Ovis aries: one gene and its partners. The protein of the gene in region 1 interacts with the protein of each later gene in a pairwise test. Links are inferred from orthologs where the notes say so. Each region holds a gene or a part of one and is shown in the gene's direction. Other genes may lie near its edges.

Region 1 (3,500 bases):
TCTGCTTATTTAACTTATATGCAGAGTACATAATGTGAAATACTGGGCTGGATGAAGCGTAAGCTGGAATCAAGATTGCCAGGAGAAATATCAAGAACCTCAGATATGCAGGTGACACCACTGTTACGGCATAAAGTGAAGAGGAGCTAAAGAGTCTCTTGATGAAAGTGAAAGAGGAGAGTGAAAAAGTTGGCTTAAAACTCAACATTTAGAAAACTAAGATCATGGCATCTGATCCCATCACTTCATGGGAAATAGATGGGGGAATAGTGGCAGACTTTTGGGGGGGCCTCCAAAATCACTGCAGATGGTGACTGAAGCCATGAAATTAAAAGAGGCTTGCTCCTTGGAAGAAAAGTTATGACCAACCTAGATAGCATATTCAAAAGCAGAGACTTTACTTTGGCAGCAAAGGCCCATCTAGTCAACACTGGTTTTTCCAGTAGTCATGTATAGATGTGAGAGTTGGACCATAAGGAAAGCTGAGTGCCAAAGAATTGATGCTTTTGAACTGTGGTATTGGAGAAGACTAAGATCAGTCTTGGGTGTTCATTGGAAGGACTGATGCTGAAGCTGAAACTCCAAAACTTTGGCCACCTGATGTGAAGAACTGAGTCACTGGAAAAGATCCTGATGCTGGGAATGATTGAGGGCAGGAGGAGAAGCAGACAACAGAGGATGAGATGGTTGCATGGCATCACCGACTCAAAGGACATGAGTTTGGGTAAACTTTGGGAATTGGGGATGGACAGGGATGCCTGTGGTGTGGCAGTCCATGGGGTCACAAAGAGTCAGACACGACTGAGCAACTGAACTGATGTTCTTCTTTCTCTTAAAAGAGTTATTAGGACTTCATGGCAGTCAAGTGGTTGAGACTGCCTCCCAGTGCGTAGGGTGTGTGTTCAATCCGTGATCAGAGAGCTAAGATCCTATGTGCCTCTTGGCCAAAAACCAAAGCATAAACAGAAGCAATATTGAAACAAATTCAATAAAGACTTAAAAATGGTCCACATTAAAAAAAAATGTTTAAAAAGTTATCAGGGAACAGTATTTGTATAATTTGGTCATTCAAAATGTGTGACTTTTTCTATAGAGCATTTTTTTTAATGAGTCATAGTAGGTTTGGAGAAGGAAATGGCAATCCACTCCAGTGTTCTTGCCTGGAGAATCTCAGGGACAGAGGAGCCTAGTGGGCTGCCATCTGTGGGGTCGCACAGAGTTGGACATGACTGAAGCAACTTAGCAGCAGCAGTAGGTTTCCACTTATATACCCACACAGAGCTTTTGGCTCCCAAAACAGATTCTAGCAACAGTTTTAGTTCTGTTTCTTTAATCTTTGTGACCAGAAGACAAAAATAAGGGGAAAAAATGGTCAGGGTGGGGAGAGTTACAGAAAGGATGAAACAGAAAAAAGTCAGCAGTCAAAAGGAAAATTTTGTTTGGTATTGTGAGCCATAATCCTACGAAAGAGTCATCAGAACAATTTGGTTTTTGTCGTGATAGGTTTTTTAAAATTGAAGTATAGTTGATTTACAGTATTAACTTCAGGTGTGTAACAGTGAATCAATAGTTTTACAGATTTTATTCCATTAAAAGTTATTATAAGATAATAGTTATAATTCTCTGGCTATACAGTATATCCTTGTTGCTTATCTATTTTGGTATATTTTTTAATGTCTGAGGGGAATTTGAATGTGAGTGTGATAGCTGTTCAGTCATGCCTGACTCTTTGCAACCCCATGGACTGCAAAGTAGCCTACCAGGCTCCTCTGTCCATGGAATTCTCTAGGCAAGAACACTGGAGTGGGTTGCCATTTCCTTCTCCATTGATATGAAGAGTAATACTTTTATTTGAACTTTTAAAAATTTTCTAGGAGAGAGGGAGGGGAAAAATTCTCCAAATTATTAGTATTAACATTATTATAATATTTACTTGCTATTCACTAATAAAATAGAGTAGATACTTTTCAAGCATTTAAATAAATTGAAAATTTACTCAAATCACCTTTTTACAAATATACTTACGTTATATAAGATATTTAAGGTCTTTTAAAAAGAATGCAAAGTATCTCACACACTTGATTTTAAAATTGATCATTGTACTTAAGAACCTGTTATTGATGTTAATATCATGAATTTAAATGTCATTTTAAAAATATCTGTTTCTGTTCTTACTGTATTTTATGTTCTTTTCTTCCCCATTGTTTTTATTTATAGTTAGATTTTATTCTTTTTTTAATTTGGAGAGAGTTCCCTTCTCAGGGTAAATACATATTTCAAATCAGGGATACAAAACTTAGGAGTGTCTTTCAGAATATTTTTACTATAATCAGTCACCTAGATGGACAGACTCCTTTTCATAGTTAGACCTTGTCCATTATACAAGGAACTACCTAAGTTATTGGCTCTTCCAGTCAGATATGTTTGATTTTGTTGTGACCCTGGTCATTGTTAAGGTGACAGTTAAATAAAAAACCCTAAATAAAAAGTTCAGTTAAATAAGAAACTTAAGGTCTGTTTAATTCACTGAAATTATTAGGCTTTTAATTTACTCATTAAGACCTATATATGTGTTCTGGAATTATGTAATTCCAGATATAATGTAAGTATCCGTGCTTATTTGCATCCTTTTTAGTCTAATTTTGTTAGAAATAAATCTGTTTTAATTTTAATCATTATGTGTGTATAAAAATTCATATTAAAGATTTTGGAGAAAAAGTCTGTTGTTCTGAAAATAAAGGAAATTATTTATAAGAGGGCATTTCTTCACCCTATATCTTAAAGTTGATCCCTCTGTCTCCTTGTAATTGTAGCGGGAGGAAGCAGAATGGGAAAACATGAATGTGCTGCTGATGATGCATGGCTTAAAGCCTTTATCTCTAGTCAAAAGAACAGATATGAAAGGTAATCAAATTATATTCTTGCTCCTTAAGATAAAAGGCTTTTTTTGTTAAAAATTTTCAATATTAATTTTTTTCTTATCTTCATTTTTACTATGTGTATTACATTTCAAAAAAATGTAGATCTCATCATTTTTGACAAACAGTCATCACAGACCATGAGGGAGAATTTAAAAACAATGATGGAGGAAACATCACGTCAACAGAACATGATCCAGGAGCTCATAGAAACTAATAAACAGCTTAAGTAAGAAAATGGAAAAAAATCTGTTTTGAATTGTATGTGAACAAATTATATGCATTTAAAAAAATAACTCGCTTAAAAATAATCTTGGAATTTAATTTTCCATTGACTAAATATTAAGTAAAAAATATTTTTAGCAGGTAAATCATTTGGTAATAGTTTCGATATATAATGATACCCTATGTTTCCTCTGTTGGTTTGTGTTATAGAAATTTTAAGAATGCAAAAAAATTTTAGAAAGTTGTTATGTTGTTAGATGAATATGTTGGTTGATATGATTTGTTTCTATTACTAAGAGAAGGAATTGTGTGTCTGTTACTAGAAATGAACTTCAGCAACAGCAAAGCCGAGCAGCA
Region 2 (3,500 bases), on another chromosome or scaffold:
GTTAGAATGGATAAACAAGAAGATCCTACTATATAGCATAGGTAACTATGTTCACTATCCTGTGATAAACCATAATAGAAAAGAATGTAAATAAGAATGTATATATTGTGTAACTGAGTCACTTTGCTGTATAGCAGAGATTTTCACAACATTGTAAGCCAACTATACTTCAATAAAAGAATTTTAAAAAGAGAAAACATAAAATGTTAGACTGAATACCATTACATGAACAAGCATCTATAAGCAAGTAAATACCCAATTTAAAAAAAAAAACAAACCTATTTCTATAAGCAGGGAAGTCTCCATTCTTTATCCTTGTATGAACATTAATAAGTGCCTTACATGAAATTTTATTGCAATAATGATGTAGGAGGGCTTCCTGGGTGGTCCAGTGGTTACGAATACACCTTCCATTGCAGGTAATGAGGGTTTGCTCCCTGGTCTGGGAAGTAACATTCTGCATGCAGTGTGGCAACTAAGCCCACACACCGCAACTAGAGAGCCCGAGTGCCATATTGAAGATCCTGTGTTGCCACCATTAAGACCCAACACAGCCAGATAAATAGATTTAATAAAATAATGAAAACCTTAAATAACGATGTAAGCAACCATATTCTGATCATCCAGCCTATGAGATGGGGAAGGTGGCATGCTTTTATGTTAAGTGAGACATGGTGAAAGTAAGGCATGGTTGAGGAGAGAGGGTGTGGAGAATGAGGACAAACGTGGAAGCAAGAGTTCTAACCCTGAGTACTACTCTGCGGGTGTAAATCTTGCTGTATTCTTATACATAGTTCACGTAAGTGTGGAGGTTCTTACACCATCTTTACTGATAACCTTATAATATTCACTAATTTTGTGAACAAATAATTATTTAAGACACCTTTTGTGCTAGTTAACAAAACTCTTGGTAGGTATTTTTGAGAGTATTGATAGTAGGTTTTAGACTTATGGACTTCTGTTGAGGGCTCTGTAGGTGTCAACTGGCTCCTCTTGAAGAGTAAGATAGATATGGTTATACTGGTAGATGGAAGTATTTGGAAGTCAATTACAGTCAATATTATATGTATATTTCCATTTCTACTTTGTGAGAAGGAACGTGGTTTTGAAAATTTCACCGATTTGGCTGCCATTGAAAGCACCTCTGAGGACCTCACAAAGACTCATCGCCGAAAACCTTCCAGCACACCATCCATAGCAGTGTCCCGGGCCTCCCTCTCCTCAGGTATTTCCAACCTGACTGCTCTGTTGTGAAAATGACTAAATCAGGTGAAAGTGACTGCCTTGTGGGGCCTTAAATGTATGTTTCATGCCTTTGAAAATAATCATCCACTCTTTGACCCATGGTATTCTGCCCACTCTGTAAGAACTGTTGAAACATGGACCCATGTGATAACTTGAGCCCCTTGCAAAATCTGTGAATTTTGAATTTGATAAGAGTATGCAGTCATGGGGCTTCCCAGATAGTGCAATGGTGAAGAATCTACTTGCCAAGGCAGGAGACACGGGTTCGATCCCTAGAGGAGGAAATGGCAATCCACTCCAGTAATCTTGCCTGGGAAATCCCCTGGACACAGGAACCTGGTGGGCTACAGTCCATGGGGTCTTAAAGAGCCAGACATGACTGAGTGACAGAGCTGAGAAGTCAGTAGAGGAGTTCAGGAAATATGATTGTTTCATTTAATACAAAAGATAAAGACACTTGCCCAGAATTCAAGGAAATGGTAGTTCCATTGACACATTGGTCAGAAGTGCCCTGTATCTAGACAGATGAATCATTATTCCATGGTTTAAATAAGGCCTTCTTTGCAAGCAGCATTAAAGGATTATTAATAACCCCTTTCATTTGTATGATCCCTTCAAAAATATTGTTTCACTTTAGCATCACAACCCCTGTGAAACAAATATTATTTTATGGTATAATTTTATTACCTTTGAATAAGGAAACTCTTCAGAGACATATGTTATAATTAGGAACTTTATGTCCCCTGTGTAGATTTGAAATCATGACAAGACCCCCAGAAGGAAGAAATCAGTTATCTAATGCTAATCCTAACATAAAGCCTAAGGCTGGATTCTCTGTGCTGAGTTGGAGGTGTCTCTCCAAGACAAGTTGCTCCCAAAGAGTTGGCTAAATGTGCATGGCTATTACTGCATTTTGTTTAGGACTAGAAAATTGGTTCTCTAGTTCAATGAATAATTTTAAACTAGCCTAGAAGCCAACCTCATGGAGCGTATTTCTACTACTCGTGCTCATACTTAGTTGTTCAGTTGTGTCCGACTCTTGGCAACCTCATGAGCTCTAGCTGGCCAGGCTCGTCTGTCCATGGGATTTCCCAGGCAAGAATATTGGAGTGGGTTGCTATTTCCTCCTCCAGAGGATCTTCTCGACCCAGGGACTGAACCCATGTCTCCTGTGTCTCCTGCATTGGCAGGCGGCTTCTTTACTGCTGAGCCATTTGAGAAGCCCCTTCATTTCTCCTCTTAATAGTACTCAGTAGCTCCTGTGGATTGAGTACATACTCTGTGTCTGGTGCTATGCTAAGCAGTTCTGTGCTATTTCATTTATCATTTCAGTCTTAATCAGTTGCTCTCTTCAGTCTTTCTCATTTATAAGCAAGTATTCTCTCTCAGCAGGGTTTTGACATAGAAATCTTTTATGGAAATAAACTGTTGATAAGCTATCCACAGCATTACTGAGTTTTGCATTTTTCTTTATATGTTTAAAAGCAAGAAATTCTGCTGATGAAAGAATGTTCTGGTGTGCAAAGAAATAGAAGTTCCTTTCAATTTCCCTATAGCTACTCCATTTTTGTGTGAAAAGAACTTGTATCATTTCATTGCATTTTATGTCAAATATAAAAGCACAATGTATGTGTGCATGCCCAGTCATGTCTGACTCTCTGCGATCCCATGGGCTGTAGCCCACTAGGCTCCTCTCCATGGAATAGACAATAGATTCTCTAATAAATAAGGAATACTTAATGTTATATTTTTTTCTAAGCTTAATGGCCCATTCTTTGAGAGTTTGCCAAGGTTTTTGAGCACAGCAAAATTCTTAAATAGCTTACAAATTGATCATGTTATAGTAGTAGAACATTTGCCTTCCTATGCTCAAAGGAGAAATGTACAGATCAGTGTTGGTAAGTCAGTCCAAGAAAATTTCAAAATACTGTTAATAAATGGTAGCATAGCATAAACAGTATGAACTTTCTGACTATTGTTTTCATGACACTATCTATGCCTTATCCCTAGAAAGAATTGGAATAACAATGAAACATTTGCAATGAGAAGTGAACCCTTCTAACAAAACAAGATGATTCCCTTCTTCCCCTTTCCTTCCTGCAGACCGGAGTCGATCTGAGTTAGATTTGAGTGGGTCATTTACAGAAGACTTAGAGGATACTATAAGCATAAGGAGCAAATCTGTCCCTGGGGCTTTGGACAAAGACTTGGTAAGTTGGATATGGAAGAGTATCTAATGGTCATGAAGAAAGGGC
Region 3 (4,296 bases), on another chromosome or scaffold:
CTGGGACTACAACCAGGCGGAGGAAAGCTCCTGGGGCAGATTAGGAGAGAGATCACTGACTGTGGAGGAAAGAAACTGGGCTTGGAGTCAGATAGACCTATGTTCAACCCCCAGTTCCATCACTACGTGCCCTTGGACCAGTTACATAACCTCTCTGAACCTGTTTCCTCGCCTATCAAATTGCATTAATACTAGTATCCACCTAGTGTGACTGTTGCAAGGATTAGCTGAGATAATGAGGAGAACTGCATTGTGCCTAGCACAAAGTAGGGGCTCTGTAAACATTGGTTCCCTTCACCTCTTTTCAGACCCCGTGTGTCCCAAGGGCCTATGAAACTGGGTCCAGAGAAACAATAAGTAGAGTTCTGTCTTTAGATGACAGGGCTCTACCCTCAGCACCTGCTCTTCTTGTCTGTGTGACCTTGGGTAAGTGACCACACCTCACTGAGCCTCATTATAATGGGACTCATATCTCAAAAAAGATAATCATTTAGGGACCGTGGCGGTCCAGTGGTTAAGACTCCACACTTTCACTCTAGGGGACATGGATTCCATCTCGGGTTGGAGGGCTAAAGATCCCACATGCTATGTGGCACAGCCAGAAAAAAAAAAAAGATAATCGTGCAAAGAACTAAATGGCAGCTGCTGTTAATTCTTTGGCTTATCACCTTCATCAGCATTTCTATTAAGAAAATGTGCCATCTCTTGCTGCGCCTGAACATAAAAATATGCTCAATGAACATAAAAATAATTACAAGGAGAAAGTGATCCAAAAGGGAAGTGTGTTAGACTGTGAGCTAACTGCAGCAAAGGGCTCTCAAGCTTTTGGAGTCTGGGTGGGGTTGCCAGTCCCACATCTATTTCCCTGGAGTAAAGGGGACCTGGAACTCCCAGGGAAGAGTTTGGAACAATGGCACCTGCCCGAGGTGGCGTGCTTCACTCTGCGCTGGGAACTTTCGCAGATGTGGCCTCCCTGAGCCCCTCGTGGGCTGGCAGCTCCAACTGGGTGGGCTGCGAGGGCCGACTGCACAGAGATCTAGCTGTCTTCTTACTCGGTTCCAGTCTCTGCACCTGACCGGACGTTCTAAGAGGGCAGAAGCACTCCACACACAGGGCAGCAATCGGGGGTGACGCTGCACACCACTTGAGAACGAGCTGACTTTAAGTTACTTCCCCTCTCTGAGCCTCCACGGAAGGCCTGTCGCCGGGCATCTTGCTGGGGGTAAGGCGGGGCGCACCACTGCAGCCAAGGCAATGCTTCTACCCAGTAGGGTGCCAAGGATGGCAAGCGGCATGGCCACTAGCGGCAGTGCAGGGCCAGAGAGACAGTTGTTCATCACCCTGTTGTTCAGCTGCGGGGAGTGGGGAACGTAGGGGCGGGGGCAGAGATCCCGCCTGTTATACAAGAAGAGAGGGACGGGAGGAACGCAGGGCGGCCCCTTTAAAAGGCGGGGTCCGGCGAGCGGAACGGCCGAGCGTCGCTGCGGAGCACTTCCGGGAGGCTGGCCGTCCTACAACCGGAAGTGTCTTTGGTGCGCGGAATCCTCGCCGCCGAAGCGTTCCTGCTATGGGCCGCAACAAGAAGAAGAAGCGAGATGGCGACGACAGGCGGCAGCGGCTCATCCTGAGCTTCGACGAGGAGAAGCGGCGGTGAGTGCCAAGGCTGAGCGGATCCCGTTCGGGCCGCCGGGCAAGGCCGAGGCCGGGTCTGTCCGCATACGCTCACGCGGAAGGCCCTTCCGGTCCCGCCCTCTCGGCGTAGTGCGGAGCCCTGGCGGGTGGAAGCCGCGGCTCTGGGCCCCCCAGCCCGGAGGGATGGAATCGTCCGCCCCGCCCTCGCGTCGCTTTTCTGCTCCCCAGGCCGCCTTGTGATGCTGTGTGCTCGGCCCGAGAGCGGGCTTCACCCTCCCCAACCTGGCGGTCTCGCTTGCAGTTGGTGGTGTTCAGTCTCTCAGTCCTGTCGGACTCTGCGATCCCATGGACTCACAGTAGACTCAGCTGTTTTGGATGAGTAATTAGCGAATGAAACAAAGGCCTCCGGACCTTTGAGTCGGTCCTCTAAGCCTTAGCGTCTGGTCTAGCCCCACTCAGAGTGCCACCTGGACCTATGGTAGTGGGTCAGCGAAAAGCCTGGTGTTGGGCCCCATAACAGATAGGAATGGTGCGGCCGGATCTAAGGAAGATGAGAGGGCCTGAGATAAGATGGAGCGTGGGGGAAGGAAGTGCTGGGGCATCATCAGGAAACTCAGGGAGGCATCAACAGGACCTACAGACGAGTCGAGGGGCAGAGTCCTGGGGAAATGGGTGTTGATCCAATGGACAGTTTGTGGAGGTCTGGGTGAGGGTGGCCTTGAAAGCCCCACTTGAAGCGGCCTAATTCACTGAGGAATAGAGTTTGCCAGTGAAGAAGGGACCCTCACCTGCTCTAGGTTCAAAGGCTCTCAGCCTATGCCCACCACCTGCCCCTGTTGCTGGCAACTAAGAGCCCAGGAGAGTGTCGAGTGGGGAGAGAGGCAGCACCTCCCTCTCTTTCCCTAACCTTACACTCTCTGACCCCCGTGGGCAAGTCATCTTACCTTTCTCTGCCTCATTGTCTCCCATCTGTGAATTGGGAATGGGTATCTGATTGAGGACAGGAGGAAAAGGGGGTGACAGAGGATGAGATGGTTGGGTAACATCATCGACTCAATGGATCTGAATGTGAGCAGACTCCAGGAGATAGTGAAGGACAGGGCATGCTGCAGTCCATGGGGTCACAAAGAGTCAGACGTGAATGAGCAACTGAACAACAGTAACCACCCAGTGTGCATGTTGTTAAGATTACATGAGTTAATACGTTTACATTTTTGGAATGGTGCTTAGCACATGGTGAGTGCAGTATTAGCTTCCCTGCTGCGCCCCCCCCCCCCACCCCCGTCCCCTTCCTGGAGTGAGCCCTTCTTTCCTTGTGTCCTGATTGTCTCTCTTTGCTATAGGGAGTACCTGACAGGCTTCCACAAGAGGAAGGTGGAGCGGAAGAAGGCAGCCATTGAGGAGATCAAGCAGCGGCTGAAGGAGGAACAGAAGAAGCTCCGGGAAGAGGTGCAGAGGGAGAGGGCAGGAAAGTGTCTCTGACTCCCAGGGGCCCTGCAGCCTCGCTGAGGGGCTGAGGGGAGGGGGCAGGCAGGCCTGGGGTGCAGTTTATGCAGATAGAGATGCCGTGGTCCAGGTGTGGGGAAGGTTCAGGGTAAGATCCCTTGATCTTTCCCTCCAAGCCATGGTCTTACTCATCCTGGAGGGGAGCAGTGTCTGGGTTGAGAGGCCATGTTCATCATATTGCCTTCCCTTCGGTTTCAGCGCCACCAGGAATACTTGAAGATGCTGGCAGAGAGAGAGGAGGCTCTGGGTAAGTCCAGTCCTTGACCTGACCTGGAGAATAGCCAGTCGGTTGAGTTTATTTATCCCTTGGTGGGTGGACAGGAAGGGGTACAAGACTGCAGAGAAGCTGACATCCCTAGCTTCAGGGATCTTGGTGGTGCCCTAGGAGCCAGGGGTGTCCTCAGGTACCTCTAAATGTCAGTCAATCAGAGACCAGGAGGAGACCCAGACCTCTTGGCAAACGGATCCTGAGCAGAAAGTCCAGTTTCTGAGGCCTGGAGGGACTGAGGGTGGCAGCAGCTCCTGGGGTCCAGGTGGGGACCAGGTGGTCTGGGGTATCCCTGGAGCATGAAGGGAGGAGTTGGGTCATTTCCAGCACTTGTCTGCTGGCCAGACTCTGGAGCCAGTGACTTCCGGGTGCCACTCTATAGAGTAGAGGGGGCCGTTACATTCCAGGGATGGAGTCAGGGGTGGGGTGTGTGCCGGAGCCTGCTTGCTTGTGTCCTGGGGCTGAGGCCTGGTCCTGTACCCACCCTGCACAGAGGAGGCTGATGAGCTAGACCGGCTGGTGACAGCAAAGACGGAGTCGGTGCAGTACGACCACCCCAACCACACAGTCACCGTGACCACCATCAGCGACCTGGACCTCTCAGGGGCCCGGCTGCTCGGCCTGCCCACGCCTGAGGTGGGGCTCCCTCCTAGCCTGGGGGAAGAAGGGACACAGGGTCAGCCTGGCTTATCAAGCGAGTCAGTAAGCGCTGGTCCATGTCAAGGGGCTGGTCCATGTCAAGGATTCCAGTACAAGGGGCTCTTTCCTCTGGGTAACCCTCCAGGGCCTGGACCAAAGCCCTGAACCCTGGGGCTTCAGAGGTCAGCTCTACCACGAGCAGCTGTGGAAGCTTGGGCAGGTTTCTCTGCCTCGCCTGCTTCTTCCTTTGA
Region 4 (4,057 bases), on another chromosome or scaffold:
CAAGCAATCCATACTCATACGGAATAAAATCAGTAATTAATAAATATACACTTGTCATAGTTCATAACGATATCTCATGTGCGACGCATGACTGTAACAGCAGTGTGCCCCACACAGCCGGCCTGAGTCCCGAGTCCGGTGTCTTCACCCTGGGGCCCCAAGGTGAGGCCTCTGCCTGGACCTGAAAACAGGTGGCAGGGTTGGGGGCGGGGCGGGGCGGGGCGGGGTGGGGGAAGGGCGCGGCGGGCTCGCGCACGCGCACCGCGAAGCCCGGGCCGGCCGGCCCCACCCACCGCCGCCCCGGAAGTCCCGCCTCTTGGGGGGCGGGGCCATGGCCAGGAGGAGAAACCCGGGCCCGCCGCGCGGCCTGCTTCCGCGGGCCCGAGCGGCGGAAGCGGAAATGCGTCACAGGGGCGGGCGGCGGCGGCGGCCGAGGCGGCGGCAGCGGGTCGCGTCGGGGGCGCCTCCGGCGGACGGTGGCGGCGCCGGGCGGGGAGGCCGGGCCTGCCGGCGTCGTCGGGGGCCCGCGGGAGCGCTGGGGCCAGGGCGGCGGCGGCCTGGTACGTGGACGGGGCCCCGCCCGCCGGGCGCCGGGGACCCCGGGGCGTCGGGGGGCCGGGGAGGGCGGCCTCGCGGGGCGGGCGGCCGGGGCGCGGCTCTCCTGGGCCTGCGGGCTTCGGGGGTCGAGAGCCTTCGAGGGGCCTGGGGGCGGGGGGTCTGGGGGTGACGGAGAACCGGCGGCCGGGGGCTGCGGGGGTCTCTTGGGCCTGCGGACTTGGGAGCGGGGGGCCTGGGGACTTGGGGGCGCGGCTTTGGGGGTCGAAAGCCTTTGAGGGCCTGAGGGTGACGGAGTGCCGCGGGCTGGGGTCTGCAGCGGTCTCTCGGGGCGACCGGGGCACGGGGTCTCGTGGGACTGCTGACTTGGGGGCAGGGGCTTCGGGGGTCGAGAGCCTTTGAGGGGCTTGGGGATGACCGGGGGCTGGGGGATGCGGGGGTCTCCCGGGACGGCCGGGGCACGGGTGTCCTGGACCTGCAGACTTGGGAGCAGGGGTCTGGGGGACTTGGGGGTGTGGGCTTTGGGGGTCGAAAGCCTTTGAGGGGCTTGGGGTGACGGACAGCTGGGGGCTGCGGGGGTCTCCCCGGGGTGCGGAGAGTGGGGGGCGTCTTCTGGGAGAGGATTTGGGAGAGGGGACAACGGCGATTGAGCAGAGGAGGGGAGGTCTCCAGGGAGCTGCGGGGTTGGGGCGGGGGGTGGACAGGGTCCCTGCAGGCGAATCGGGGTCCACCAGGGTAAGAGGTAAGCAGGCTGTACTGGGACGGGGAGTGAAGTTAGGGGTTACTGGAGGTTGGAGGGGGTAACCGGGGGCCACAGAGGCGGCTGGGGAGAGAGAAGGCGGGAGTTGGGCCAGTGGGGTGAGCATTTGGAGGGGTGGAGGCGATGGGGATCGTGAGGGGCTGCCAGGGGTGTGTTGACAGGGGTGCAGCGAAGGGGCTGGGGGTCATCCCCAGGGTGCAGGGGCAGCTGGGCGACCAGGGAATATGGGAATCCCCAGGGTTCCTAGTAGGCAGTGGGCTTCCGGAGTCTCTGACTCAAGTTCTCTCTGAGGTCTGGAGGTTTTCTGCGGGTGGAGGGGGGCTGTCGCCACTCTCAGCCCAGGCTGAGCCCCCTCCCTGGTGCCCCAGACCTGGGCCAGGTGGCTCTTCCCTCCAGCTGGGACCCCTCCACCCCCGTCCCTGCAGCTTCTCCTGGGTCTGGGTGTGTGTGTGTGCTGAGCTGTTCAGTCGTGGCTCTCTGTGACCCTGTGGACTATAGCCCACCAGGCTCCTCTGTCCGTGGCTTTCTCCAGGCAAGAATACTGGAGTGGGTTGCCATGCCCTCCTCCAGGGGATCTTCCCGCCCCAGGGATTGAACCCAGGCCTGGTCAGAAGCTCTCAGAGCCATCTGGTGCGCGGGCACACAGCCCAAGGCCCCCTCCATTACTGTTTGCTGTCCGTGGGTCAGGTCTGGCCCTGCTTTGCGGAAGTAGGCACCTGTCTGACCGGTAGGGAGAAGCTGGTTGAGGGGGAGGAGAGCACAGTCAGCTCCCCGTCCGCGGCTTCCCAGAGGCCCCGCGGCTTTGATGGTTTTATCTGGACACAGAGAAAATGCTTCTGCCTGCGGTAGAGATACTGAAGTCAACGGTCTTCAACCATTCTCTCAGCCTGAAAGTTCCTTCCTGTTTCCGCGGGCTTCCTCCGGCACAGACCTTCCCAGGTGCTTGTGTGGGTCGTCCCTTCCCCAGTGAGACGTCTGCAGCCTCCATGGAGGTGGCCTGTCCCCCACATCCCGAGGGCAGGGACCCTGCCCATCTGGGCTCCTGCCAGCCCAGCCCTGGTGGAGATGCCTCTGAGTATTGGGGGCAGCTCAGTGCCCATGGAGGCTTGGGGCAAGCAAGTGTTCCTAAAAGTTTTGAAAACCCAAATTTTTTTCCCCTGCATTTGTGTAATCTGATTAAAAGGGCCCACATGTCAGGGGCTGGGGTTTCCCTGGTGGTTCAGACAGTAAAGCATCTGCCTGCAATGCAGGACACCCAGGTTTGATCCCTGGGTGGGAAAGACCCCCCCTCCTGGAGAAGGGAAGGGCAACCCACTCCAGTATTCTTGCCTGGAGAATTTCAGGAGCAGGGGAGCCTGGTCGGCTACCGTCCGCGGGGTCACAGAGAGTCTGACACGACTGAGCGACTAACCCTGAGGGGCCGAGGGGCCTTCCCTGACGTAGCGACTAGTGTGTCGGGCACGCGGAGGGCAGACGGGCCTCCGTGCCCCGGGCCGCGTGCTGGCCAGCCTGGGGGCGGGGCAGCGGGCCGGCCGTGAACGCGCGGCGTGCGCGTCTTGTGTTTCAGGCCCAAGGTCCCGGCTATGGCTGCGGCCACCATCGTGCACGACACGTCTGAGGCGGTGGAGCTGTGCCCGCTGCACGGCCTGTACCTGAAGCCCATCACGAAGATGACCATCAGCGTGGCGCTGCCGCAGCTGAAGCAGCCGGGCAAGTCCATCTCCAACTGGGAGGTGATGGAGCGGCTCAAGGGCATGGTGCAGCACCACCAGTTCTCCACGCTGCGCATCTCCAAGAGCACCATGGACTTCATCCGCTTCGAGGGCGAGGTGGAGAACAAGAGCCTCGTCAAGTCCTTCCTGGCCTGCCTGGACGGCAAGACCATCAAGCTGAGCGGCTTCTCCGACATCCTCAAGGTGCGCGCCGCGGAGTTCAAGGTCGACTTCCCCACGCGCCACGACTGGGACTCCTTCTTCCGCGACGCCAAGGACATGAACGAGACGCTGCCGGGCGAGCGGCCGGACACCATCCACCTGGAGGGGCTGCCCTGCAAGTGGTTCTCGCTGAAGGAGTCGGGCTCGGAGAAGCCGAGCGAGGAGGTGCTGGTGCGCGTGTTCGAGCGCTTCGGCGAGATCCGCAACGTGGACATCCCCATGCTGGACCCCTACCGCGAGGAGATGACGGGCCGCAACTTCCACACCTTCAGCTTCGGCGGCCACCTCAACTTCGAGGCCTACGTGCAGTACCGCGAGTACGCCGGCTTCATCCAGGCCATGAGCGCGCTGCGCGGCATGAAGCTCATGTTCAAGGGCGAGGACGGCAAGGCTGTGGCCTGCAACATCAAGGTGCGGGGGGTGGGGGGGAGGCGGGGCGGCGGGCTGCGCCCCGAAGGGCCTCCGACATGGGGAGGGCTGCCTGGGCCCCCCACGCGGTGAGCGCACTCTGTGTCTCAGGAAACGTGGGGAGAAGTGGAACACGCTCGCAGCCGCCCTTGAAATGAGGGCGCTGTCCATCATCGCCGCGGACTCTGGCTCGTGCTGGCTCCCCACGTCAGGCTGGCGGAGGAGCCGGGGCCCTCGGGGCGCGAGCTGTGCCCGGGCGCTGGGTGGTGAAGGCAGCTGGCTGCGGAGGGCGGGGGGCGCCCACCGCAGGAGGGGGAAGGAGTCAAGCTCTTGCATGCAGGGCTGGCCTCCGGAGGCCCTGGTGTTTCCGGCAGAAGGGGCCGTCCTGGAAGGGGTGGGG
Region 5 (4,033 bases), on another chromosome or scaffold:
AAGCACTGATCTAGACCAGTGGTTTCAAATTGCACACTGAGAATCACCTGGGGAGCTTTAAAAATTCCAACGTTTCCGTTACACCCCATTCCTATTGAATCTCCGAGAGTGAAACAAAAACAAAACCTCCAAGGGGTCCCAATGTACAGCCAATTTTGGGAACGTGTGATCTAGAGGCAGAGTCTAGAAGGAAACAAGGGTTTGTCGGGCTCAGGTGGCTGAGGAACAATTATGACGGAGGGGGGGTGGGAACATACACTGCGCTTGGAATTCTGCACATTGCACACCCAGCACCCAGGCAGAAAACATAATTACTGTAGGAAAGCCTGACTGATGCCCGCTCCCTGAACTAAGCGCTCAGCCAGCCAAGCCAGTGCTGGTGGCCGCTCACCTAAGCGAGCGCTCCCAGATTCCGACCGCTTGCCCCGCCCCCGTCCGCGCGGTCCCCGCGAAAGACTTGGGGCGCAGGCGCAGGCGCATTCGCCGCCGCGGCTGGGACGGCCGCCGCTGACGTCAGGACGCCTCGCGGGTTCTAGGCCCCCGCCCGGGCTCCCGCGTTCCGCGCGGGCTGTGCGGAGGCGGGGCGTTGGGCCAGCGGAGCTATCCCGTCAGACCGCGCCAGTTTGAATGAAAGCTCCTCAAGATGGCGGCGGCCGGGGCCGAGGCGCCAGGAGGTGAGGGCTGGAGAGCGGCGCCCCGCACTGTCCCCTGTCCGCCGGGCAAACTCCCGAAGCCCGGGAAGCCGGGCCGGAACGCGCGGGCCGGCCGCAGAGCGACGCGGCGAGACATCGCCTTCCGCGCGACTGACACTGCGGCCCCGAGACGCGCGCCGCGGGCTCCTCCCTGCCCCCGGCCCCTGACCCTCCTCGCGGCTCGGCCCGCCCGCTGCCCGCAGTCGCTTCCCGCGCCCGGCCCTTGCGAGGCTCGGCCCGCGCCCTCCGCTGCCGTCCCACGGACCCGGCGGCCCAGTCCCCGCCGCCGGCCGGCCCAGAAACCCCACCCCTCCCGACCGCTGTTTGGGGGCACCCGGGTGGCGACGGCGGATCCTTGCGCGCCTCGAGGTCCGTGGACACGAGGGGGGCGCGACTCCTTTGTGATGGTTTGAGCGGGACGTTTGCAGTCGGGCTAGCTTTGGAACTGGGAGCGGGAGGATCCCGGTGGTGTGGGTGTGACCTCAGTGTCGGAGGAGCAGAGAGAGGTCGGGGCTAAGAGAGGTGTGAAGGCTAAGAAAATAGATGAGTGAGGATGTACCCCGATTGGGACGCACGGGGAGGACCGGTTCGCCTTTGGAGGAAGTCCCACTAAGTGGGTACTGGAGGCGTTAGCCCCTGGCTCACGGGAATCGTCATCCCCGCCGGGAGGGAACTTGCGTTCTGTTTCTGTGGTCGCCAAAGAATTCGGTGCTGAACGTGTGTTTGTGCGTGCGCTCCAAGACTGGAACTTTCAATGCCTTCTGAAACGGAAAGGTGTTTTCCAGCACTGCGCCTCTCCGCATGGATTATGGACTCATTATCGCCCAACTTTTCCTCCGCTAGGGGTTAGTGTGAACTAGTGTCAAGTTTTTGTGGTGGTCATGAAATGTTTATTCTTACCAATGAATTCTCTTTCTACTTTATTAGAGATAGTCAGATTGGTTACCAGGGGGGTTGCGGTGTCGTGTGTTCCAAGTTTTACTCTCAAAACTAGCATTTCCGTGGAGGGTTGCGTCTTGAATTCTTCTGTTACTTGCACTAAGTGAAATTGGTAGGAACAGCAGACAGATACACCTTCGGTAGAAAGTCCAGGTGATGAGCATAACGAGGTTAACTCTACACAAAACATCCTGAGGCTTTTTAAATGGAAGGGATGGATATAAGGGGTGGTTTGTATTTCCACTACTCCCCTACCCCCAAAACACCCCTCAAAATTTTTAGGGGAAAATACATTTCACTTTCTTGATCTAGAACTGAGTTCTTTTTTGGGGGGTGGAGCGGCTGGAAATCATATTTCAGGTTTTCTGACCATGAGACCCCTGGGTGAGTTTGGGAGGGCGAGGAACGAGTATACTAGGAACAGCTCTTCTCTCTTTCTGGAAAATTACCTCCAAACCCAAAAGGTTATCACAACTACCTTGGAGAGCTGCCAAGTAAAGCGTGCGTTTACTGACGGGTTTTGTTTGGTTTACTCCCAGTTTACTCCAGCCCTCACATTTTTTTCAGTGAAGCTGAAACCCAGAAAGATGGAAACCTCCCTACAGTCATGTAGCTAGGGGGCCTCGCGGGGCCTGGAACAGAGGACCCTTGATCCTCTCTGGTGCTTCTCGTGGCACTAGCCGGAAAGCCAAGTTTATTCTATGTTTCTAAATGTCAGTTTGTGTTAACCTATTTTAAAAAAATATTTATTTACTTAATTTGGCTGTGCCAGGTCTTAGTTGGAGGTACACCATATCTTTTATCTTAGATGCTGCATATGGGATCTAGTTCCCTGACCAGGACTGAATCTGAGCCCCTGTATTGGGAGCTTGGTGTCTTAGCTGCTGTTATCACCACCCTGTGTTAACCTATTTTTAATGCAGTGTGGTGGCATACTCTTAACAGGAATTTGAGGGTAGACTCTTCCACAGCACTGTTACTGGCTTCTAGAAGGTTGATGATGAGTGTATCTAATTTTCTTCAGGCTTGGTGTAAATTGAATACTCTGTATTGTCATCCTTGGCTTTGAAAACAATACAGGAAGTGAGTATTACAAAACTCAGTATACTCTTCATTATTTTATTGTAGCTCTTGGGTTAATTTACCTTGCTAAACTACATTGCTGCATGAGCAGAATTGAAGTTAAAATTTCATACAACCTTCCCAAATAGGACAAGTGGATCATATGATGTCACCAGTATATAACTATAGAATTAGATTACAGTTCTTATTGCTGGACAAAAAGAAAGGGAAAATTACTTTTTAACAATGTAAGATTATTTTAAAATATATTTAAGATGTATCTTTAATAATTTTGTGCTTGATGTCTACATTTGACTAAAACAGCAATTCTATATAGAATACAATGAAAAAGTTAAAAATACTATCTCAGCCTATCTGTGTGTAATCTTATGAAAGCTTATAGACATGAAACATTTTGTTCAGGTGGCCTAGTGGAAATTGATATAGTAGGGCAGAGACGCGTGAGAAAATCCAGGAAGAAATATTTACCAAAATAGTTCTTCAGTGGTTAAATTTTCTTAGACATGTAAATGGTTTCTTGAATTTTTAGTCTTATAAAATTGCCAGTTGAAGGGTGGGGATATAGAAGTCAAGATTTTTTGTTTTATTTTATTTTAATGGAGTAGCTATTTCATTAGTAAAGAATTCTATTTTCTTATTGTAGCTTGGTGTGTGCCTTGCCTAGTTTCACTTGATACTCTTCAGGAATTATGTAGAAAAGAAAAGCTCACATGTAAATCGATTGGAATCACCAAAAGGAATCTAAACAATTATGAGGTGGAATACTTGTGTGACTACAAGGTAGTAAAGGTAAGGCAAATATCTAGACCCTTAAAAAAGACCTAATCAGACCTCCCTTTAGTATTTCATGTTTCTGTAACATAAAAATAACCCTAAAAGTAAGCAAAGCTCTTCTTAATGGTTACAATTCTTAGCCATGATAAATTTATATGTCCTGTCATCTGTTTGCCAACTAACATTGAAAGGATTTTGAAGCATAAAATGTTCTTACATTCAAATATTTCAAGGTGCCTATGTCATTCTACATCCAACTCTTGATTATCTCCATGTGGATTACCAGAGCAAATGTTTTAGCTCAGATTGGCTTCTCCCGTCATTCGTTTTGTTCCTGAATCATATTTCCCCACTATCAGTCACCTGAGATGAACCTAGAAATTCAAGCCAATTTTAATGTTACCAAATCTCAAGAAGCATCACCATTTGTATTTCCTGCCGTCCTGTCAAACTCCAGATAGCAATGAGGTTTTGTTGTGCAGTAGAACAGCCTGGAGTTCAGTCATTTCTAGCCTTTGTCTAGTACCTTGTGACTCCAGAAAAGT
Region 6 (3,500 bases), on another chromosome or scaffold:
CTCAGGCACCACTGCAAGTCCAGCCGCTGGGGAAACTTAGTTGTTGGCATTACTAATTAGCAAGTCCTGTTTTGCCAGCTCTCTCCCTGTGAGCTTGGCCCTGTGATTTCCATAGGACAGGCCAGCAGGATTCTATTGACCTAAAGTACCAGTCAGGGGTCATAGTTTCATTCACCAGGACTCACTTTGGTGCCCCACCCCTCCCACTGCACCTGGCCTGCCCAGGAGTCTCCACTGGGGACAGGCCTGCCCTCCCAGCAAGGAGTCTTGCTGTCCGGAAGGGAGGGGAGCTCACTCCCCCAGCCTGGCATGGGCTCCTAACCCAACAGCTTTGGGACCTTCAGAGACCCAAAGCTTCTGCTCACCCACCCAGAGCCCAGCTGACTGCTATGGGGCACTGTGCCTCGGGCCGGGGGAAGGGGAATGGGGCAATATGGCGGCCCTGGGGCCATCTCTGCTGGTCCACAGGCTAGTGGGCCCAAGGACCCAGCTGGCCACGGGAAGACAGCTTCACTGCAGGACCGTCCATCTTTTAAATATGGCTCTTTCTTTCTCCCCTTCTCCAGCACTAGCGCGCGTGCGCTCTCTCTCTCTTTCTCTCCCCTCCTCTCCCTCCCCTCCCTGTCCCCTTCATCCCAAGTGTAGCCTGTGTAGTGCTGGCCCTGGGTGTGGCCTGGCAGTGTTAGGGCTGAGTGGGGGTTTGCCGCACTGTCCGGCAAGCTTCGGGCAGCCGAGCACTGTATGCCTGGTGGAGTGTGTTCACGTGTGCGTGCCCGGAAAGGCAGCAAACAGCTGCGCCCGAGGGCTGTGGCTCTTTCCCTCCCTCCTTCCCTTCCTTCTTCCCTTGTCAGTTCTCCGACCTCCCTCCGTTCCCTGTCCCTCATCCATCCAGCTGAAGGGCTCGCTCACTCTCTTCTCCTGTGCTGAAACGGTGCGTGGGGCACTGCTGCCCAGGCCTCACTGTGCTCTGCTTTTCCCCGCAGCACTCCCTCAACATCCTGGGCCAGAAGGTATCCATGCACTACAGCGACCCCAAGCCCAAGATCAATGAGGACTGGCTGTGTAATAAGGTACAGGGGCAGTGGGCAGCAAGTGCCATGGATTGAGACAGCCGCGGCAGGGGTGGCAACATGTCTGTCTCCCTGGGGCCTCTGAGTGGTGCGGGCATGGAGGAACTGGCCCAGCTCCGGCAGCACCGCTCATTGCCTCCCCCACGACTCCCCTCCTCGTCCACCCAGCCAGCTGCCAATTCATACTGAGCTTTCACTCAGTGCCAGGCTCTGCCCTCATGCAGCACGATATTGCCTGAGGCCCCAATAGATGTCACATAGACGTTTATGTGAGTGACTAGTGACGGTGAAGCATAACATGGTGTATGAAAAGTGGGCATCAGGGCCAGACTGGCTGAAATTAGACTCCCTCAAAATCCCCCTTGAGGTCAGAGTATTAACCTCTCTTTGCCTCACTCTCCCCATCTCGAAAACACAAATACTAAATACCCAGAGGTGGTCAGAAGGATTGAAATGCAGTGATGAGAGGGTAGCACTTGGAACAGCACCTGTCAGCTGCTGTCCTAAATAATGTGTAGGGTGTTCTGAGAGCTTGTGTCAGATGACCCAACCCCTGACAGAGCCAGGTCCACAGAGACTGACTGTACAAGCTGTAGGTCTTTGCGCTCATGTTCCCTGGGAGGAGGCTGAGGCTCAGAGAGATGGAACCTCGAGCTGCGTCTTATTCCTAATCATAGGCTATGGGTGCCACCGTGGGTTCGGGTCCCCCCTTAGGCCAACCTCACCTTCTGCAGCCGGCTGACAGCCCTGAGACCTAAGTCCTGAGAGCTTGCAGGGGCCCCCAAGCCTCTCCCCAAGAAGAACTCTGCCCAGTAAAGTGGGGGAGGGGGGCCTCTTTGTTTGAAAATGAAAAGAGTAATACCAGAAGGCAGATGTCCAGCCTCTCTGGAGAGAGTGACAGGAGGACTCACTCCATCTCTCCTGTATTTTCAGATGCTCCTTAAAACTAGGGCAGTCTGTTCTTTCCTCTCCTTTATCTACCACATCCTATTGCTCTCTGGTCTTGTCACGTCCATCACACAAACACCTTCCATTGCCATTCTCACTGTGCAGGCTGGTCCTCACCCCTCCTCCAGACAGTCACCATGGGCCCCTCTCTGGTTTTCTGGCCTCTTGCCTGTCTCCCACTCCCTCACCTTTGGCATTCCTCACACCCACTTCTGACCATGTCCCTCCAACTCTGCCAAAAACCTGCACATATCTGAACGTGAGTGTGACGCTCCTCTGGGATTTAATGTCACCTTCTCTAGCCTTGGCTTTTGCCTTTCTCTCCACCCTCCTACACCAGCTACACAAAATGTCTTGTGTCCTCTGCTAGCAAGTGCTTCCCAGCAAAACCAAACCTCTGGGCCTCCCAGGTGAAACAGCCATGCGGACTATACCCAGCTGAGTAAGCTGGGCCTCAAGGCCCACTCCTCTCCTGGAGTCCCTGGTGGTGACCATTTCCAGACTGACCTGCTGCACCTCTGTGCTACATCCGCTCCCTACTGTTAGGCCGCATGCTGCGGAGAGCCTGGCATGGGAACAGTGCTCAGGACTTGACCGCGGATCAGAGACCGAAATGTGGTGAAAACTGGGGGTCTCCAGAGGCTGCAATGCCCAAGGCAGATTTATTTCTCAAGAGTGGCAAGATCCAACCTCGAGATGAAGGGGTGAGGCCTGGCAGGAGAGGGGCTACTGACTTTTTAAGGATAGAAAAGTGATGAAGGTTTCTGAGAAGGAAAGTACGTTCTGGGAAGAGGAACCTACTAAAAGGACTTTGGAGGCGGAAACGTCTCTGAGCTGGTCCCTTGGAGGAGACAGCAGTTGGTAACAGAGGTAGGGGGTGGGTTACGGACTCCTGAGTTGAGGGGTGGGCGCTGAGGAGAAATTTGAAACCATGTAAAGAGTCGTGTGTCTGAGAATGACAGCCATTCCCCAAAGCCCTTTGCTCCCCCCTCCCCTGACCCTGGGACCTTCCTGGGGCATGGTGGGATCCCTGGAAGATTTCTGGATCCACATTTGGAGGGTGCAATGGAAAGCCCCCACCCCCCACCCCCTGCTGCCTCTGACAGCCTGGCCTGTGCCTCACAGTGTGGCGTCCAGAACTTCAAACGCCGTGAGAAGTGCTTCAAATGTGGGGTGCCCAAGTCAGGTACGGCCTTCCTACCTCCCTCTTCCTTGGGACATTGTGGGGAGAGGGGCGAAGGGTGAAGGTCACAGCTCTGGAAGGAGGGTGACCTGCCTGGGAGCGCCTTCCAGTTTGTCACCAGTCTCTCTCCTGATGCCCCTAGCAGAGGCGGAGCAGAAGCTGCCCCTGGGCGCGAGGTTGGATCAGCAGACGCTGCCGCTGGGGGGTCGGGAGCTAAGCCAGGGCCTGCTGCCCCTGCCACAGCCCTACCAGGCCCAGGGAGTGCTGGCCTCCCAGGCCCTGTCACAGGGCTCGGAGCC
Region 7 (3,500 bases), on another chromosome or scaffold:
GGGAGAAGCACTAGGTCAAGGGGAGTGGGGTACTGCTGAGAGACCAGGGGGTTCCTGCCCTGAGATGGGGCCACTGAGGATCCAGTGGGGCTCCGATCACCTACTCTTTGAGGCTCAGCCATATCACCCCCAACTTTGCCAATGAGGGATCCTTGATCAGTGAACCAAGAGATACCTTCTCCCTGCTGGACTTCAAGTTCACTTCTTTTTTTTTTTTCTCACAAGGTAGGAAGCAGAAGGCTCCGACTCCAGTGGCACGTGTCAGTGAGAGGAGTCTTCCAAACACAATCCCTTCATTTTCTACTTGGGAGCAGATATTTCCCCTGGGGGGTGTCTCGGTGTCTTGGCCTTAGCTCTGGGCTGCATGCAAGATTCTGCTCTTCCTAGGAGGGAGGGCACAAAAGGCACTGCCCTGTGGTGGGGAGGCTCCGAACCTTCCTTTTATTCTGAGATAATAGACAGGGCGAAAACCCACTGACACGACTTCCTTTCTCACTTAGAGCTCCCAGACATGGGCTTCCTCTCAATTCTAACAGAAATAGCCCCAAGAACCGCACAGGAAAAACGCACGTGACATCATGGGCAAGACAGAGATATAGCTCAGCCTTCCCCCACCCCTGCTCCTTGAAACTGCTGTAAAATCCCCCCTTAAATGATGAAGACTCTTCTTCACAGTGACTTCTGTTCCCGGTCATGGTTTTCAAGTCCATCTTTTTCTTGAATGGAGGAAGTTTCTTTACCTGGCGCATAGCCAAGGGTCCTGGCCCAGCAAGCCAGTGTGCTTTCCCATGGGGCCCTGCACATTTACTGAAGGTTCCCACCAGAGGCTCAGAGTCTTGTGTGCCTCTCCCCTCCTGTCCTGTCTCTGAGTACTGCCGCCACAACCCTCAGCCTCTCTCGTGTGCTTGGCAGAAGGATGCCTGGTCCCACGTGTGATGTGGTCAGAGGACCCTTCTCACGGCCAGGACTTGCAGCTTGTAGAGCGACAGATTTCTGACAAGTGCACCAAGTGGGTTTTTGTAAGTGGGATCGTGCTTCTCCGGTGGAATCTGGATCTTTCTGGGATGTGTTCTTTCCCTTGCAGTTTGTTGTTGTTTTCAGTCACTAAGTTGTGTCCGACTCTTTGCAACCTCATGGACTGCAGCACGCCAGGCTCGTTTGTCCTTCACTATCTTCCAGAGTTTGCTCAAACTCATATCCATTGAGAGGGTGATGCCATCCAATCATCTCATCCTCTGTTGTTCCCTCCCCCTCCTGCCCTCAATCTTCCCCAACATCAGAGTCTTTTCCAGTTCGCATCAGGTGGCCAAAGTATTGGAGCTTCAGCTTCAGCATCAGTCCTTCCAGTGAATATTCAGGGTTCACTTCCTTTCGGATTGACTGGTTTGATCTCTTTGCTGTCCAAGGGACTCTCAAGAGTCTTCCCTAGCACCACAGTTCAAAAGCATCAATTCTTCATTTGCAATACATTCCTTTAGTTCCACTGTCCCATTTTCTAAACTATTGGCTTACAAGCAGCACAGAGAATGCTGGCAAGCTTGTCCCATACTGGCTATAGTACAGAGAAGAAAACTGAACCCAGGGTCCAGAGCGTGATCTTGCCCAAAGCCACAGCCAACAGTCACAGCTTCTCACAGGCAGAGAGGGTGCAGGGGTGGGCACGGGGAAGGCAGGGCTGTGCACGCAGACGTCCAGCCGCTCAGAAGCCAGTGCTGGCCCCTCTTCCTCGGGGATGGCTGGGAGGATAGGCGAGCCTGGCGTTGTCTGCAGACCCAGGCTCCGTGCCCAGTCCCTCACTTCCCGACTGTGCAACCTCAAGTCCCTCGGCCCTCCTGAGCCTCAGGCATGTCATGGACAAAATGGCGGCAGATGATTCTCACTCCATTCACGTCAGGGGGAATCCCAGCTGAAGACAGAAATGAAATGACTTTGTAAAGCTAAGGGCTGGAGGACAAACAGGAAGTCCTTAGTGAGGGCTCATGAGTGGGGATGGCGTGAGTCGATGGTCAGCTGCCCAGAGGCCCGTCTCCCCTCAGGCGCCAGGAGCGACAGCGCTTTGTTGAGTACCAGGCAGAGCTGCAAGGCATCCAGCACCGGGTGCAGGCCCGGCCCTACCTGTTCCAGCAGGCCATGCAGGTGAGGCTGGCACGTGGGCAAGCGTGTGGGCTCCCTGGAGAGCAGAGCTTCTCACCGGCCGAGAGGGTAGGGAGATGAGGCGGGAGGGGCCCCCTCAGTTTGGACCCTTGAAAAGCCCTGGGACCCCCTGGAATCAGAGTCTCACGGTGTCCTCGGGGCAGCCCAGGTGAGAGAGGGGGTCCCTCTGCTTTCTCCTCAGGCCAACGCCCGGCTCAACGTGACCCGGCGCTTCTCCCAGGTGCTGTCGGCGCTGGGACTGGATGAGGAGCAGCTGCTGGCCGAGGCGGGCAAAGGGGACACGGAGGGCGCCCCCAGGAAGCACAGGTGAGGCCCAGCTGTGGGGAGATAGGGCACGGCCACCAGTACCCTGCCCCGCGGGGTCTCAGCTGCCGCCTGCCCCGGGGAAAGGCTAAGGGGCCTCCCCCGCAGCCACATGGGTCCACCCTGAATTTAGACTTCCATCCTGCCCTGTCCACTCCCTGGCCGGGAGGACTCAGTCTAGCTTTCGCAGTCAGCAGGGCCGTCCCCGGGCCCTGTCCTCCATGTCACCTGAGGAAGGCAGGGCCAAGGTTATTTCCCCACAGAACGCTTACACTTCAGAACAACCTGGTGCAGAGCAGAGGTTATCAGGCTTCGGGGGCGGGGGTAGTCTCCCACTCAGGGTCTCAGAGTGTAAGAGCCACATTTGAAACCACTGACATTGGTGATGAAGGCCTTGCCCCTCCTACAGCCCAGGTCTCCTTGGTTATGGGGGTGGGGAGTTGCAGAGCCCAGTGGTCTCTACTTGTGTCTTCATCTTTAAGGGGCCACAGGTCAGTGGGGGCGAGAATGGAGCCCTCTTCTCAGAGCCCCCCAAAGATGGAACACACTGGCAGCCAGGCTGACCAGCACTTCGCCCCAAATCCAGACCAAGAGTTGAGTCCCTGAGATAAAAATTAAATGCTTTGTGGAAAACACGGTGTGGGATTTCTGGCGGTGGTGGGAAGTGGCTGTGGGTTGGGAGCAGGCCGTGGCAGGTGGGTATGCAGCACGCTTGGCTTGTGCTCACATCCCCCAGGAACCCTGGCTGTTGCGACGGCCCCCGCCCAGCACACACGGCTGTGTCTCTGCCCAGAGGAGCGAGTGGGGCATCTCCCAAGAGCAACAGCTGCAACTCCTACCAATGCTGGGTCCTGGAAATTCAAGAGTGAACAGGACAGAATGCCTTCCGCCTTTGGGAACGCCCAGTCCTGTGGGGGAGGGGGCGGGCCTTTAAAAGGGCGCATAATCACACCCTAACAGATGGGCTGGCAGATCGAGCAACTGGCAAGTGGGGGTGTCAGGAGGAATTGTGTGAACTGAGCTTTTAACTACAAGTTAACAGT

The links.
Region 2: the proteins of CEP70 (region 1) and SYTL5 interact in binary tests that used the Homo sapiens proteins (3 or more experiments, as listed by UniProt). The two-hybrid records come from large-scale screens. The link is inferred for Ovis aries from reciprocal best matches to the Homo sapiens genes CEP70 and SYTL5.
Region 3: the proteins of CEP70 (region 1) and NOL12 interact in binary tests that used the Homo sapiens proteins (3 or more experiments, as listed by UniProt). The two-hybrid records come from large-scale screens. The link is inferred for Ovis aries from reciprocal best matches to the Homo sapiens genes CEP70 and NOL12.
Region 4: the proteins of CEP70 (region 1) and A-kinase anchor protein 17A interact in binary tests that used the Homo sapiens proteins (3 or more experiments, as listed by UniProt). The two-hybrid records come from large-scale screens. The link is inferred for Ovis aries from reciprocal best matches to the Homo sapiens genes CEP70 and AKAP17A.
Region 5: the proteins of CEP70 (region 1) and SUV39H2 interact in a two-hybrid assay, tested with the Homo sapiens proteins (2 studies listed by BioGRID and IntAct). The link is inferred for Ovis aries from reciprocal best matches to the Homo sapiens genes CEP70 and SUV39H2.
Region 6: the proteins of CEP70 (region 1) and RBM10 interact in binary tests that used the Homo sapiens proteins (3 or more experiments, as listed by UniProt). The two-hybrid records come from large-scale screens. The link is inferred for Ovis aries from reciprocal best matches to the Homo sapiens genes CEP70 and RBM10.
Region 7: the proteins of CEP70 (region 1) and TSGA10IP interact in binary tests that used the Homo sapiens proteins (3 or more experiments, as listed by UniProt). The two-hybrid records come from large-scale screens. The link is inferred for Ovis aries from reciprocal best matches to the Homo sapiens genes CEP70 and TSGA10IP.

The regions. Positions count from the first base shown.
Region 1 is NC_056054.1:251,191,455-251,194,954, forward strand, and holds part of CEP70 (centrosomal protein of 70 kDa), read left to right. Parts: intron 1-2,813; coding exon 2,814-2,904; intron 2,905-3,023; coding exon 3,024-3,147; exon of another isoform or gene 3,148-3,179; intron 3,180-3,466; coding exon 3,467-3,500.
Region 2 is NC_056080.1:37,494,805-37,498,304, forward strand, and holds part of SYTL5 (synaptotagmin-like protein 5), read left to right. Parts: intron 1-1,095; coding exon 1,096-1,225; intron 1,226-3,348; coding exon 3,349-3,455; intron 3,456-3,500. UniProt on the Homo sapiens protein: May act as Rab effector protein and play a role in vesicle trafficking. Binds phospholipids.
Region 3 is NC_056056.1:215,348,992-215,353,287, forward strand, and holds the start of NOL12 (nucleolar protein 12), read left to right. Parts: upstream 1-1,496; 5' UTR 1,497-1,567; coding exon 1,568-1,650; intron 1,651-1,755; exon of another isoform or gene 1,756-2,851; coding exon of another isoform or gene 2,852-2,868; intron 2,869-2,975; coding exon 2,976-3,081; intron 3,082-3,336; coding exon 3,337-3,385; intron 3,386-3,899; coding exon 3,900-4,042; intron 4,043-4,296. UniProt on the Homo sapiens protein: Multifunctional RNA binding protein that plays a role in RNA metabolism and DNA maintenance. Participates in the resolution of DNA stress and the maintenance of genome integrity by localizing to sites of DNA insults.
Region 4 is NC_082741.1:868,717-872,773, forward strand, and holds the start of A-kinase anchor protein 17A, read left to right. Parts: upstream 1-1,257; 5' UTR 1,258-2,120; coding exon 2,121-2,254; intron 2,255-2,882; coding exon 2,883-3,660; intron 3,661-4,057. UniProt on the Homo sapiens protein: Splice factor regulating alternative splice site selection for certain mRNA precursors. Mediates regulation of pre-mRNA splicing in a PKA-dependent manner.
Region 5 is NC_056066.1:28,871,417-28,875,449, forward strand, and holds the start of SUV39H2 (histone-lysine N-methyltransferase SUV39H2), read left to right. Parts: upstream 1-1,233; 5' UTR 1,234-1,446; coding exon 1,447-1,537; intron 1,538-3,357; coding exon 3,358-3,503; intron 3,504-4,033. UniProt on the Homo sapiens protein: Histone methyltransferase that specifically trimethylates 'Lys-9' of histone H3 using monomethylated H3 'Lys-9' as substrate.
Region 6 is NC_056080.1:57,639,396-57,642,895, reverse strand, and holds part of RBM10 (RNA-binding protein 10), read left to right. Parts: intron 1-983; coding exon 984-1,070; intron 1,071-3,143; coding exon 3,144-3,204; intron 3,205-3,343; coding exon 3,344-3,500. UniProt on the Homo sapiens protein: Binds to ssRNA containing the consensus sequence 5'-AGGUAA-3'. May be involved in post-transcriptional processing, most probably in mRNA splicing. Binds to RNA homopolymers, with a preference for poly(G) and poly(U) and little for poly(A).
Region 7 is NC_056074.1:40,492,642-40,496,141, forward strand, and holds part of TSGA10IP (testis-specific protein 10-interacting protein), read left to right. Parts: intron 1-2,036; coding exon 2,037-2,136; intron 2,137-2,335; coding exon 2,336-2,460; intron 2,461-2,939; coding exon of another isoform or gene 2,940-3,063; exon of another isoform or gene 3,064-3,090; intron 3,091-3,193; coding exon 3,194-3,326; 3' UTR 3,327-3,500.